Linked DNA regions of Arabidopsis thaliana. The protein of the gene in region 1 interacts with the protein of each later gene in a biochemical or structural test. Each region holds a gene or a part of one and is shown in the gene's direction. Other genes may lie near its edges. The genes, in order: mSFC1 and TPR7.

Region 1 (4,535 bases):
CTCATACGTTGCGAACGAGTTCATAGTTAATGGTTTGGCAAACAGGTACTTTCATTCCTTATAACGATTTAGGGTTTGTACTTTTTAATGATGAATTGGGTAGATATCAAAAAGTAAGCTTCTTTCTCTGGCTGATTGGATTGGAAATATGTTCCTTATCGGCTCGTTCAATATTGAAGCAAGATTAATCTCAACTTCAGCTGGTTTGCTACGTAATTTACCATACGCTGCAGCGTAGGAAGTTTGAGACACTTTTTTTTTTTCTTTGTGATAAAAAAAAAGTTTGGCTTTAGTTTTGGAATTGTTATAGTTTAGGTTCTACATTTTTTGGTGTTTGCAATTTGTACATTTCTTTTTGGCTTTGCGCAAAGCTATTCGCTGATTTTTAAGTGAACATTTTGTCCTGAGTTTTATTCAAATTTGTTTTTAGATAACTCAGGTTTTACTTTGTTTAGGATTGTCGGTTTTTCATTATGTTGTTTTTTGGGGTGTGGATTACTGCCGGTGATGATTTTCGTAGGCTTGTCCTGATTAAAGACATGACGTTAAACGTGAAGCTAAGAGACTGAGGCTGTTTATTGTTTTGTTTTTGTTTGATTCCTTTTTATTTGTCTGATTGATAAGATTCTTTAGTAGTCTTAGTGACTCCCTGGACATTCGCTAATGGATGTCTAATTGTTTATATTCTGTTATGGCAGCCATGCTTTCCAGAGATTTGCTGTGAGGACTTCAAAGAGAATAGAAAACCTCTCTAAAATGGGTTAGCATCTTCATACTTTAGCTCAATAATGATTGGTCTGCTTGTTGTAACCCACAATCTTATTAAAAAGTGGATGTTTGTTTTCCAGCTGCAGAGAACAGGGAGAAAGTCGCTCAGCAAATGGAAGAATTTGCCAAGAACATTGACGTGAGTTTTTATGCATACAATCTTTCATTGATTCTACAAAACATATATTGACATTTAAGACTAAACAACTTTGCTTTTTTTTTGCAGTCCACGAAGAAACCCTGATCATTCTAGTGTGGAATCTTAAAACCTCAGTAAATCACATGGGTCAGCTCAAGTAGGGAGGTCTGTTTATCTTTGTATAAAGAATGTTAAAAAGTAATAAGCTTGTGGATTAAACAACCAGTGATCTTTTGGTGCTGTTTCTCTTCTCTTAAACCCAACTCTTCCGGAGTGACTAACCACTGTATGAAGGAATTTCTATCGTCTTTTGCTTCCTACTTATTTGTAGAGCACATTTATTGATTCTTTTCGTTTTGGGCTGTGGCTTTGATTTTAAATATGTAAATTACGGGCCCGTTTTGAAACAGACTTGTGGTGCTGTGGATGTCTCTTGTGTATAGAATTAATGTCTATAATCGTTTCTGTATCGGCCCAATAGTCCAATCATCTACTGTCCAATCGGCCCAATATACTAATATAGGATATAATAGGATTCGATTAAAGTCAAATATGTTTTTCACAGCTCTTATTTATTTAGGACAATGCATTTCTTTTTCCCAAAGCTTAATCACTCTTTCCTAAACTCTCCACTCATGCTTCCATTGTTATATACTACTGTCTCCCAGAGCTAACACAATAGTGTCTCATTTGAACATAAGCATATATTCATATCAGCTCTAGAAAAACAAAAATTGAATAATAAAATCTGGAACCCGAGTGTCGTCAAAATTGTCCCTAGAAAAAGAAAAAAGAAACGCGTAACAACAACATTCTAAACCAAAGAAGAGGACAAAGCGAAAAAGGCAATGAAAAGGGTAATAATCAATGGCTATTGGCCTTGCGAAACTAAAAACAATGACCAAGCATAGTCATTTGGTTAGGCATTTACGACCGTTGAATAAGACATCAAATCAAAGATGGTCCCTTTTAATAAGAGGCCCAAATCACATCTACCATTTTTATGGTGATGAAATCGATTTACGCCAAACTTACCTTGGTTGTTGAAACTTGAAAGGTGTTTGATCACTACTATCGTGGTTTGAAGATGTAAAAGTATTTTCATTTTTTGATTGAATATGCATATTTATTTTAAATAAAACCCACTATTATGAGAATATTGTGCCAATGACATCTCTAAAAGAAAAAAAAAAAGGTCACTTTCTTTCTCACACTTTAAGGATACAACAAACAATCTCAATTTCTTTTTGTTATCTTTTTCTTTCTTTCTAAAGCAAACATTTTTGGAAAATAACAAAAGAATAAATAGCAGAGAGTCTGTAACGAGAAGAAGGACGAATATCTCTCTCTCTCTTTCTCTCTGCTTCCTTCTCGATTTCTGATTCGCTCACCGGCCGAGGAATCAGATATGGCGACGAGAACGGAATCGAAGAAGCAGATTCCGCCGTACATGAAAGCAGTCTCAGGCTCACTAGGCGGAGTGGTCGAGGCTTGTTGTCTCCAACCAATCGACGTAATCAAAACGCGTCTCCAGCTAGATCGCGTCGGCGCTTACAAAGGAATCGCTCACTGTGGTTCGAAGGTGGTTCGCACCGAAGGAGTTCGTGCTCTCTGGAAAGGCTTAACACCGTTCGCTACTCATCTCACGCTTAAGTACACGCTTCGGATGGGATCCAACGCCATGTTTCAAACCGCCTTTAAGGATTCCGAGACCGGAAAGGTCAGCAATCGTGGCCGTTTTCTTTCCGGATTCGGTGCCGGTGTTCTTGAAGCTCTCGCCATTGTTACACCCTTTGAGGTAAGTCTTGTTGCCTTTTCGAGACAATGAAATCACATGGCTTCTCTAATATTTTATTAGATTATGAATCGATTTAAAACTATAGTTTAATCATCAGAGTGTTAGTTGAGTCAAAGATTTGGTGTAATTGAAATTGTTAGATTATTCTTGCACCAGAAAATCATCTCTGTTCATCAATTATTTAGTATATTTTAGTCAAAGAGATAAAAAATGATTTGTTGAGATCTGTTTTGATGCTTTTGGCCAACGAATCTCTTTGGTCCCTATTGTTCATGGCAACTCTTGATTCGGAGAATCGTGTTCATCATAATCATAAGCATTTTGAGTCTGACACAGATTTTGCTTACATTTACTCAAGTAAAACACTGTTGAGTTCTCTGTTTTATCTCCAGGTGGTGAAAATTAGACTTCAGCAGCAGAAAGGATTGAGTCCTGAGCTTTTCAAGTACAAAGGACCAATACATTGTGCTAGAACCATCGTGAGAGAAGAAAGCATACTTGGTTTATGGTCAGGTGCAGCACCGACGGTTATGCGAAACGGAACCAACCAAGCTGTAATGTTCACAGCGAAAAACGCGTTTGACATACTCTTGTGGAACAAACACGAAGGTGACGGTAAAATCTTGCAGCCATGGCAGTCAATGATCTCAGGGTTTTTAGCTGGAACCGCAGGTCCGTTCTGCACAGGACCGTTTGATGTGGTGAAAACGAGGTTGATGGCTCAGAGCAGAGACAGTGAAGGTGGGATTAGATATAAAGGGATGGTTCATGCCATTAGAACGATTTATGCAGAGGAAGGATTAGTGGCCTTATGGAGAGGGTTATTGCCGAGGCTAATGAGGATTCCTCCAGGACAAGCCATTATGTGGGCTGTTGCTGATCAAGTCACTGGTCTTTATGAGATGAGATATCTTCGGAATGCTCCTTTATAGGCAGAGACACTTTTTGAAATTCAGTGTTTCTAGTTGGTGTATTTCTGAAAATTCTTGTTAGGATTTTGATTTGATCAAGAAAAATAAACCTAATCGCACATTTTATAACGATGTTACTCTATAATCAAATTTTGGGAGTTCCATTTTGTTGTTGTCTGTAAGACTCTGACTAAATAAGTTTTACTACAAAGCATAGCAAAATTACGCTTAAAAACGTAAAAAGTGAATACCACTGATTTATCATTTATATACTATAAGGCCCAAAATTGGCAACAGTGTCAGGCAAATTCAGTTTGTCACTCTTAAAACTGTCACATCCATATTAGTTTGGGCTGGGGTCATTTTGTTATGGGCCACATTTGGAACATATAGGCCCACAGTTTTCAACCGCCTTCGCCAATTCCCTTATATATACTATTAACGCCAACGCAACTTTAGGGCTTTCATCAAAACCCTAGTTAGCCGCCGCCATCTTTACCATCATCATCATCGCAACCTCTCCTTTATATAGACGCTTCTTTTGGCTGTTGTCATCTATCTTCCTCTAGTTAATTCTTTGAAAATATTTTTTTGTTTGCTCGGTTAAAAAGTTTTGTGCAATTTGTTCCTAATGAGGATATTTATCGAAAGCTATGGATCTGTTTATCAGTTCCATATGATGCTATATTGTCATAGTTACTCTGATGGGAAATTATTATTATTTTTTTTATAAAAAAAATCAAATTTTGATAGCTTCTTGTTTTAAAAAAGAAGGCAACTTTTTGCCGAGTGAATCGAACATCGATCTCTCTCTTTTTCCCAGTTGCCCAAATCATGTAATGGCTGCGTGAGGATTTTTTGATTGGTTATTCAATCTTTTATATAACCTATCTTTTCCTCTTTGCTGCTACATAATCTT
Region 2 (5,993 bases), 7.1 Mb from region 1:
AGCAATCGTACACAACTTGCTGCTGTGAAAGAGAGAAAGAGAAGTACCAGTGACAAGTGGCATGCCACGTGGGCCGGCGGTTTAGGACCCAATCAGAGTGAAACTGCCACGTGAGATCCTCTCCACGTCCCGACAACCATCAAAATTCAAAGCCTTCTTCTTTCTGTTTCCTCCATCATGCTCTTTAACTCATTTTTTCCCTAGCATATCAATTTTAAAAAAATAGTTTGCAATTTACGGCAATAAAATGTGGGCAACAAAAACAAAACTGAATATTTACATTCGTTTTCATTGTACAATAGAGGGTACATTCAAAAAATACAACTCACTCATTATCCTAGATTGCTTTGCCATATAATAGTAGAATACGTAAGAATGTGTCTACGATGTATTCTAAAGGATAACAAGGGCTATGTGAATTATAAAATCAAGGCTATATATGTGTATGCATATTTTGGTTCGTGTAAACATGTTAAAAAGTTGCTTTGTTGTAATCTATTTAGAAGCACATGCATGTTGTAATCTAGCTTCGAGAGATGTTGCACAACATGTATCAGAATGCTTTAGCAATATTGCTTTATTAATTATAAGTTGAAGATATTGTTTCCTTCTTGTTTGTTATATGATATAACTTTATTAATCCATTGGTTTCATTGTGACCAAGAAGAAGAGGTTTGCTAGAATTTCCTCGTTCTCGCTGCAATAGTACTTAGTGATTAGTTAATTGATAATCATAAATCATATCAACATTCACTTCTCTCAGACTGCTATCATTTAGTGAATCATAATCTCTGCTAATATTGAAAAATTGGGAGACGAGAGATAGATGAGAGTTGTAGCTAGCTTTAGTCAAAGTGGTCCTCTTCTAATGTGACTATACCACCGTTTCCATTCTTTCAAACATTGAAACATTTATGCTGCGGTGGAGAGAAATAAACATTTCAGAAAAATTAATTGATAGATGTACTCGTCGATGAAACTATATCGAAACAATATTGAAAAAAGTATTACCAAACACAACTTATATGTCACTAAAACTCGTCTTTTTTCTTTGTATGGTCAAAACACTAAAACTCGTTCAACAACTGAAAAGATTGTCGTATTGAAATAAAATTCTTTGCCCGAATAGTTGTACATATGTATTTTTTTGTTAAGATCATTTTGATATTTAAGATACTAAAAATTCTGCAGAAGACATGCATATTTTAAAGTTTAATAAATGGATTACTTTAGAGATTGAGTCTATGAAACTGAATACTAAACATTTTTGGATTCCAACAAATATATTATGGCTCTGAATGGTAATCAAAACCGCACTTAAAACCGCACCGCAACAGTACTGTAACAGTATTAAAATCTCTACATATTCATATGTATCTATATATTTTCGTTACTATTTGAACCGCACCGTACTTCTCCCGCACCGCAAAACGCAATCACCATTCGGAGCTTATATCATGGAGATGTAGCTGGGCAAACATATGATATCGATATCCAGACCCTAAAGAATTTTAAAATATCAAAAAATTATTTGTACCCTCAAACAAATTTAAATTGAATTTTATTGACACTTTAACACGTGTAACAGTTAAATTGGACGACTCTTTCTAAAACGAAATAAAAAAGAGTTTAACAAGAGATTCGTTTCAGTTTAAGAAGAAAAAAAACACGAGATTAGTCTTCCAACATGGACAAGGACATGACAATTTGCACGTAATCATATAGTTACGTTAATCAATACAATTACGTAAATTAATTTATTATGGCACGTCACAGCATCATCGTAGATCAAGGGTAAAACAGTCATTCTCCATCATCCAGGCATATTCCGGTCGGTGAATTGAGGAGGTTGAGCGATAAATTTTCCAATTCGATTCTATATTATTGGAAACTACTTTCGGGTCGGCAAAACAATTCTCCTTCGATTTTCCGATTCTCACAAACTCAATCTCGATCCAGATTCCGAGCTTATCCTTCTCTGGCGAATTTCGATTTTCTGTGTTTCCGATCTGATTACAGAGAACCACATCGAAGCTTCGAGAAAAAAAAACACGATGTTTAACGGGTTAATGGATCCTGAGATGATTCGGCTCGCTCAAGATCAGATGAGTCGTATGACTCCTGCTGATTTCGCTAGGATCCAACAACAGGTTTCGTTATTTTTCCTGATTCGAATTATTCGATCGATTCTGAGGAGAATTTGTTTGATTTGATTTGATTATGGCTTTGTATGATGAATTTATACCATTGTTTATTATACAGATGATGTCAAATCCAGATTTGATGAATATGGCAACAGAGAGTATGAAGAACATGAGGCCTGAAGATTTGAAACAAGCTGCGGAACAGCTTAAGCATACTCGGCCTGAAGATATGGCTGAGATTAGCGAGAAGATGGCTAAAGCTTCCCCTGAAGATATTGCAGCTATGCGTGCTCATGCTGATGCTCAATTTACTTATCAGATCAATGCAGCTCAGATGCTTAAAAAACAGGTAACAATTGACTTCCTGAGAGAAGTTTTCTATTGAATTTTGCTTTCCTGATTATAAAGTAAGGAACAAGAATGGCTTCAGCAAGTGGACCTTTGTGTAATTTGATGTTAATCTCATTTTCTACTACGTTTGGCAGGGAAACGAGCTTCATAGCCGAGGAAATTTCAGCGATGCCGCAGAGAAATACTTGCGTGTAAGTCTGCAGACGTATCTCATTTGTCATGCTACTTGACAAGAAGAGTTTTATTTGTAACCTGATATGCGATTCTTTTCTACTTGTTTACAATGCTCTTGGACCATATCTCAGGCGAAGAACAATCTGAAAGAGATTCCATCTTCTAAAGGTGGAGCAATTTTGTTGGCTTGTTCTCTCAATCTAATGTCGTGTTATTTGAAGACGAATCAGCATGAAGAGTGCATAAAGGAAGGTTCTGAGGTATATTCTTTATGCTCTTAATTTTCTGAAAACTCATAGATGAAAACATTTTTAGGAAAAAGAGAGATGGCAATCTTTTGGCTTCTTTTTTGTAGATGTAACACATGATGTCATACAGCGTTTTATGATCTATTCAAAACTGTTTCGACATTCTTCTGATAAATTTACATTCTTACATTATTTCAGGTTTTGGGATATGATGCAAGGAATGTCAAAGCCCTATACAGAAGGGGTCAAGCTTACAGAGATTTGGGCTTGTTTGAAGTGAGTTCTTCTGTTGCTTATGGAACTTTCTTGAGATTCCTTGTCGATATATATGTTTGTACTGTAGATATGTCCTGACTATATGTTTGCTCAATGCTCATTCACTCTCTTAAACTATAAGGATGCCGTCTCTGATCTAAGCAAGGCCCATGAAGTTTCCCCAGAAGATGAGACAATTGCCGATGTGTTAAGGTATGGATTTTTATATTCATTACTGGTAATGTCATACTTTTCAGTTCTGCTTATCTCAGAGGTTTTGATATTAACATTGAAAAAATAACTTTTGACTTGAAGTATTATCTTTTCTGATGCAGAGATGTTAAGGAAAGATTGGCTGTCGAGGGACCTGGCAAGGCATCAAGAGGTATAATATTATTCCTTATGATTTATTCGAAAGAATTCAGTGTATTATGTCAGACCAGACGTTTCTTTACTACATCAATGATATGCTTCGTCCATGAATATGGAAACGAACTGAAAAATGTTATGTTGTTTGGTTATTAGGTGTGGTGATTGAAGACATAACTGAAGAAAATAATGTTACTTCCGGAGAGAATAAAAAACCGTCAAAAGAGGCTAATGGTCATGCTCAGGGCGTAAAGACTGATGTTGATGGATTGCAAGCTCTCAGAGATAATCCAGAAGCAATCAGGTTCGACACCTTTCCAAACATTAGTGTTTGATGTGTTGTTTCATCTTTTTGTCTCCTAATCTTGAAGACAAATATAATCTAAAGCATCCTTTTTCTGCTACATTTGGCACGATTAGTATGATTTTCTAATTGTTTTTATTCTTTCTATGGCCTGCAGAACTTTCCAGAATTTCATTTCAAAAACTGATCCCGATACACTTGCTGCTCTAAGCGGAGGCAAAGCTGGAGACATGTCACCGGACATGTTCAAAACTGCGTCAAGTATGATAGGCAAAATGTCACCTGAAGAGATTCAAAAAATGGTTCAAACAGCCTCTTCGTTTAAAGGAGATAACCCTTTCGCCCCGACTGCGCCATCTACCGAAAACGGTTTTACACCCACACCTGACATGCTTAAACTTGCATCTGATATGATGGGTAAGATGTCACCAGAAGAGCGTGAGAGGATGTTTAACATGGCATCGTCTTTGAAAGCAAACGCTCCAGCTTCAACATCATACGGCAATGCAGAAGCATCTGAACCACGGGAAAGTTTAGGAGCGAGTGGGAGTTCTTCGGGAAATTCCTTTGTGGCTCCAAGAAGCGGTTTCGAACCAAGCATCCCTTCTGCTCCGCCTGCTGACTTACAGGAACAGATGAGAAACCAAATGAAAGATCCAGCGATGCGACAGGTTTGATCATTTTCGGTTTATGTTTTACCAATTTAGTCAACATAATGTGATTGTTGATGTTCATATAGTAGTTTCTCTGTATATTGGTAGATGTTCACGTCTATGATAAAGAACATGAACCCTGAGATGATGGCTAGCATGAGCGAACAATTTGGAATGAAGCTTTCTCAAGAAGACGCTGCAAAAGCTCAGCAAGCCATGGCTTCTCTTTCTCCCGACGCCTTGGAGAAAATGGTACGAATTCGGTTTAGTAAAACCAAAAGAACATTCAAAGTTGATTGTATAGTTGTCTCAATTGTAAACACGTTGTTGCAGATGCGATGGGCGGATCGGGCTCAAACCGGGATGGAGAAAGCGAAGAAAGCAAAGAAGTGGTTGTTCGGAAAAGGCGGATTGATCTTTGCAATATTAATGCTCGTTTTAGCAATGGTCCTTCACCGTCTCGGCTATATTGGAAACTAGAGGAAACAACGGTATCTTAAGGCTTAATCCTTCGTGAAGATAAAACCAGTCTTCGGTGGGTTCGTTTAGTTTGTAAAACTGTAACATCGTTTTATCTTCTTTTTCTTTCCTCTAACTCTCAGCTTTTTGTTAGTCCACTTGTGTCTAAATTTCTTTACACTTTCTTCTGTAGTGAATTTTAAATTAGAGAAAATACGAATATTTCCTTATATTCGTTATTTTATAAACATAATTATGCTTCTGGTAGAGCGCCTCTACAAGAAAATTGGTTATTTGCGTTGGGAGATTCTTTTAGCAAATAGAAAAGACCATTTCTAATGGTTGTCTCTATTTTTCTTTATAAATATAGAAGGAAAAATAGAGATTTTTATTTTCTATTTTTATATATAGAGAAAAAAAATAAAGATCTCTATAATAGAGGTAAGAATAAAGATGAGTTAGAGTAAAATAGAGGCAAAAATAAAGTTTAAAGACAAAAATAAAGATGAGTTGGAGATGTTCTAAAGAGAAAAGTTCGAGTAAAAAATTTTTTTTTCGCAATCCAACGTTTGCAAATTTTGCGAGGAGAAATTTTGAAATAAGTATATAAAATCATCTTAAACTTTATTAAATTCATAGATATTAAAAAAATAAAAAAACTTCATTAAATTTTAAATTATATTTTTTTTTGTGCACCCAAAATTTAGATAATTTAATTATTTTAATATACGACTGAATACACATTCTTCAAAAGTAAAAAATAAAGAAAAAACTTAGAAGGATGAAGTACAAGAGAAGGAAACACGTGTCTTAATCTGGGGCCCAGCTAAATCAATTCTTCGTTAAAATGTCTTTAATTAAAAAAATAGAAGAAATCGAACGTCGTGAGAGGGAGGGAGGGAGAGAGAGTCAATAGAGACCACGCGCAGAGACAAAAGAGACCAAAAGAAAATTAAAGAGTCTTTGTCATTGTCTTCCTTCTTCTTCCTTTTTCTCTCCCCCCCCCCATTATCTTCGGCGAATCATGAATCTAGGG

Evidence for each region.
Region 2: the proteins of mSFC1 (region 1) and TPR7 form a complex in vitro, tested with the Arabidopsis thaliana proteins (one study listed by BioGRID).

What each region holds. Positions count from the first base shown.
Region 1 is NC_003076.8:142,342-146,876, reverse strand, and holds mSFC1 (Mitochondrial substrate carrier family protein), read left to right. Parts: upstream 1-2,013; 5' UTR 2,014-2,315; coding exon 2,316-2,705; intron 2,706-3,097; coding exon 3,098-3,637; 3' UTR 3,638-3,822; downstream 3,823-4,535. Other genes in the region: AT5G01350 (UvrABC system C protein), read left to right, coding at 1-45, 699-760, 849-907, 995-1,012. UniProt on the Arabidopsis thaliana protein: May transport cytoplasmic succinate, derived from fatty acid oxidation, into the mitochondrial matrix in exchange of fumarate during lipid mobilization in seed germination.
Region 2 is NC_003076.8:7,271,341-7,277,333, forward strand, and holds TPR7 (Tetratricopeptide repeat (TPR)-like superfamily protein), read left to right. Parts: upstream 1-1,730; 5' UTR 1,731-2,054; coding exon 2,055-2,150; intron 2,151-2,262; coding exon 2,263-2,493; intron 2,494-2,629; coding exon 2,630-2,686; intron 2,687-2,800; coding exon 2,801-2,929; intron 2,930-3,115; coding exon 3,116-3,193; intron 3,194-3,314; coding exon 3,315-3,385; intron 3,386-3,507; coding exon 3,508-3,557; intron 3,558-3,697; coding exon 3,698-3,845; intron 3,846-4,002; coding exon 4,003-4,516; intron 4,517-4,606; coding exon 4,607-4,750; intron 4,751-4,831; coding exon 4,832-4,978; 3' UTR 4,979-5,239; downstream 5,240-5,993. UniProt on the Arabidopsis thaliana protein: Plays a role in protein import into the endoplasmic reticulum (ER). May function as chaperone docking protein during post-translational protein translocation into the ER. Chaperone receptor mediating Hsp70-dependent protein targeting to chloroplasts.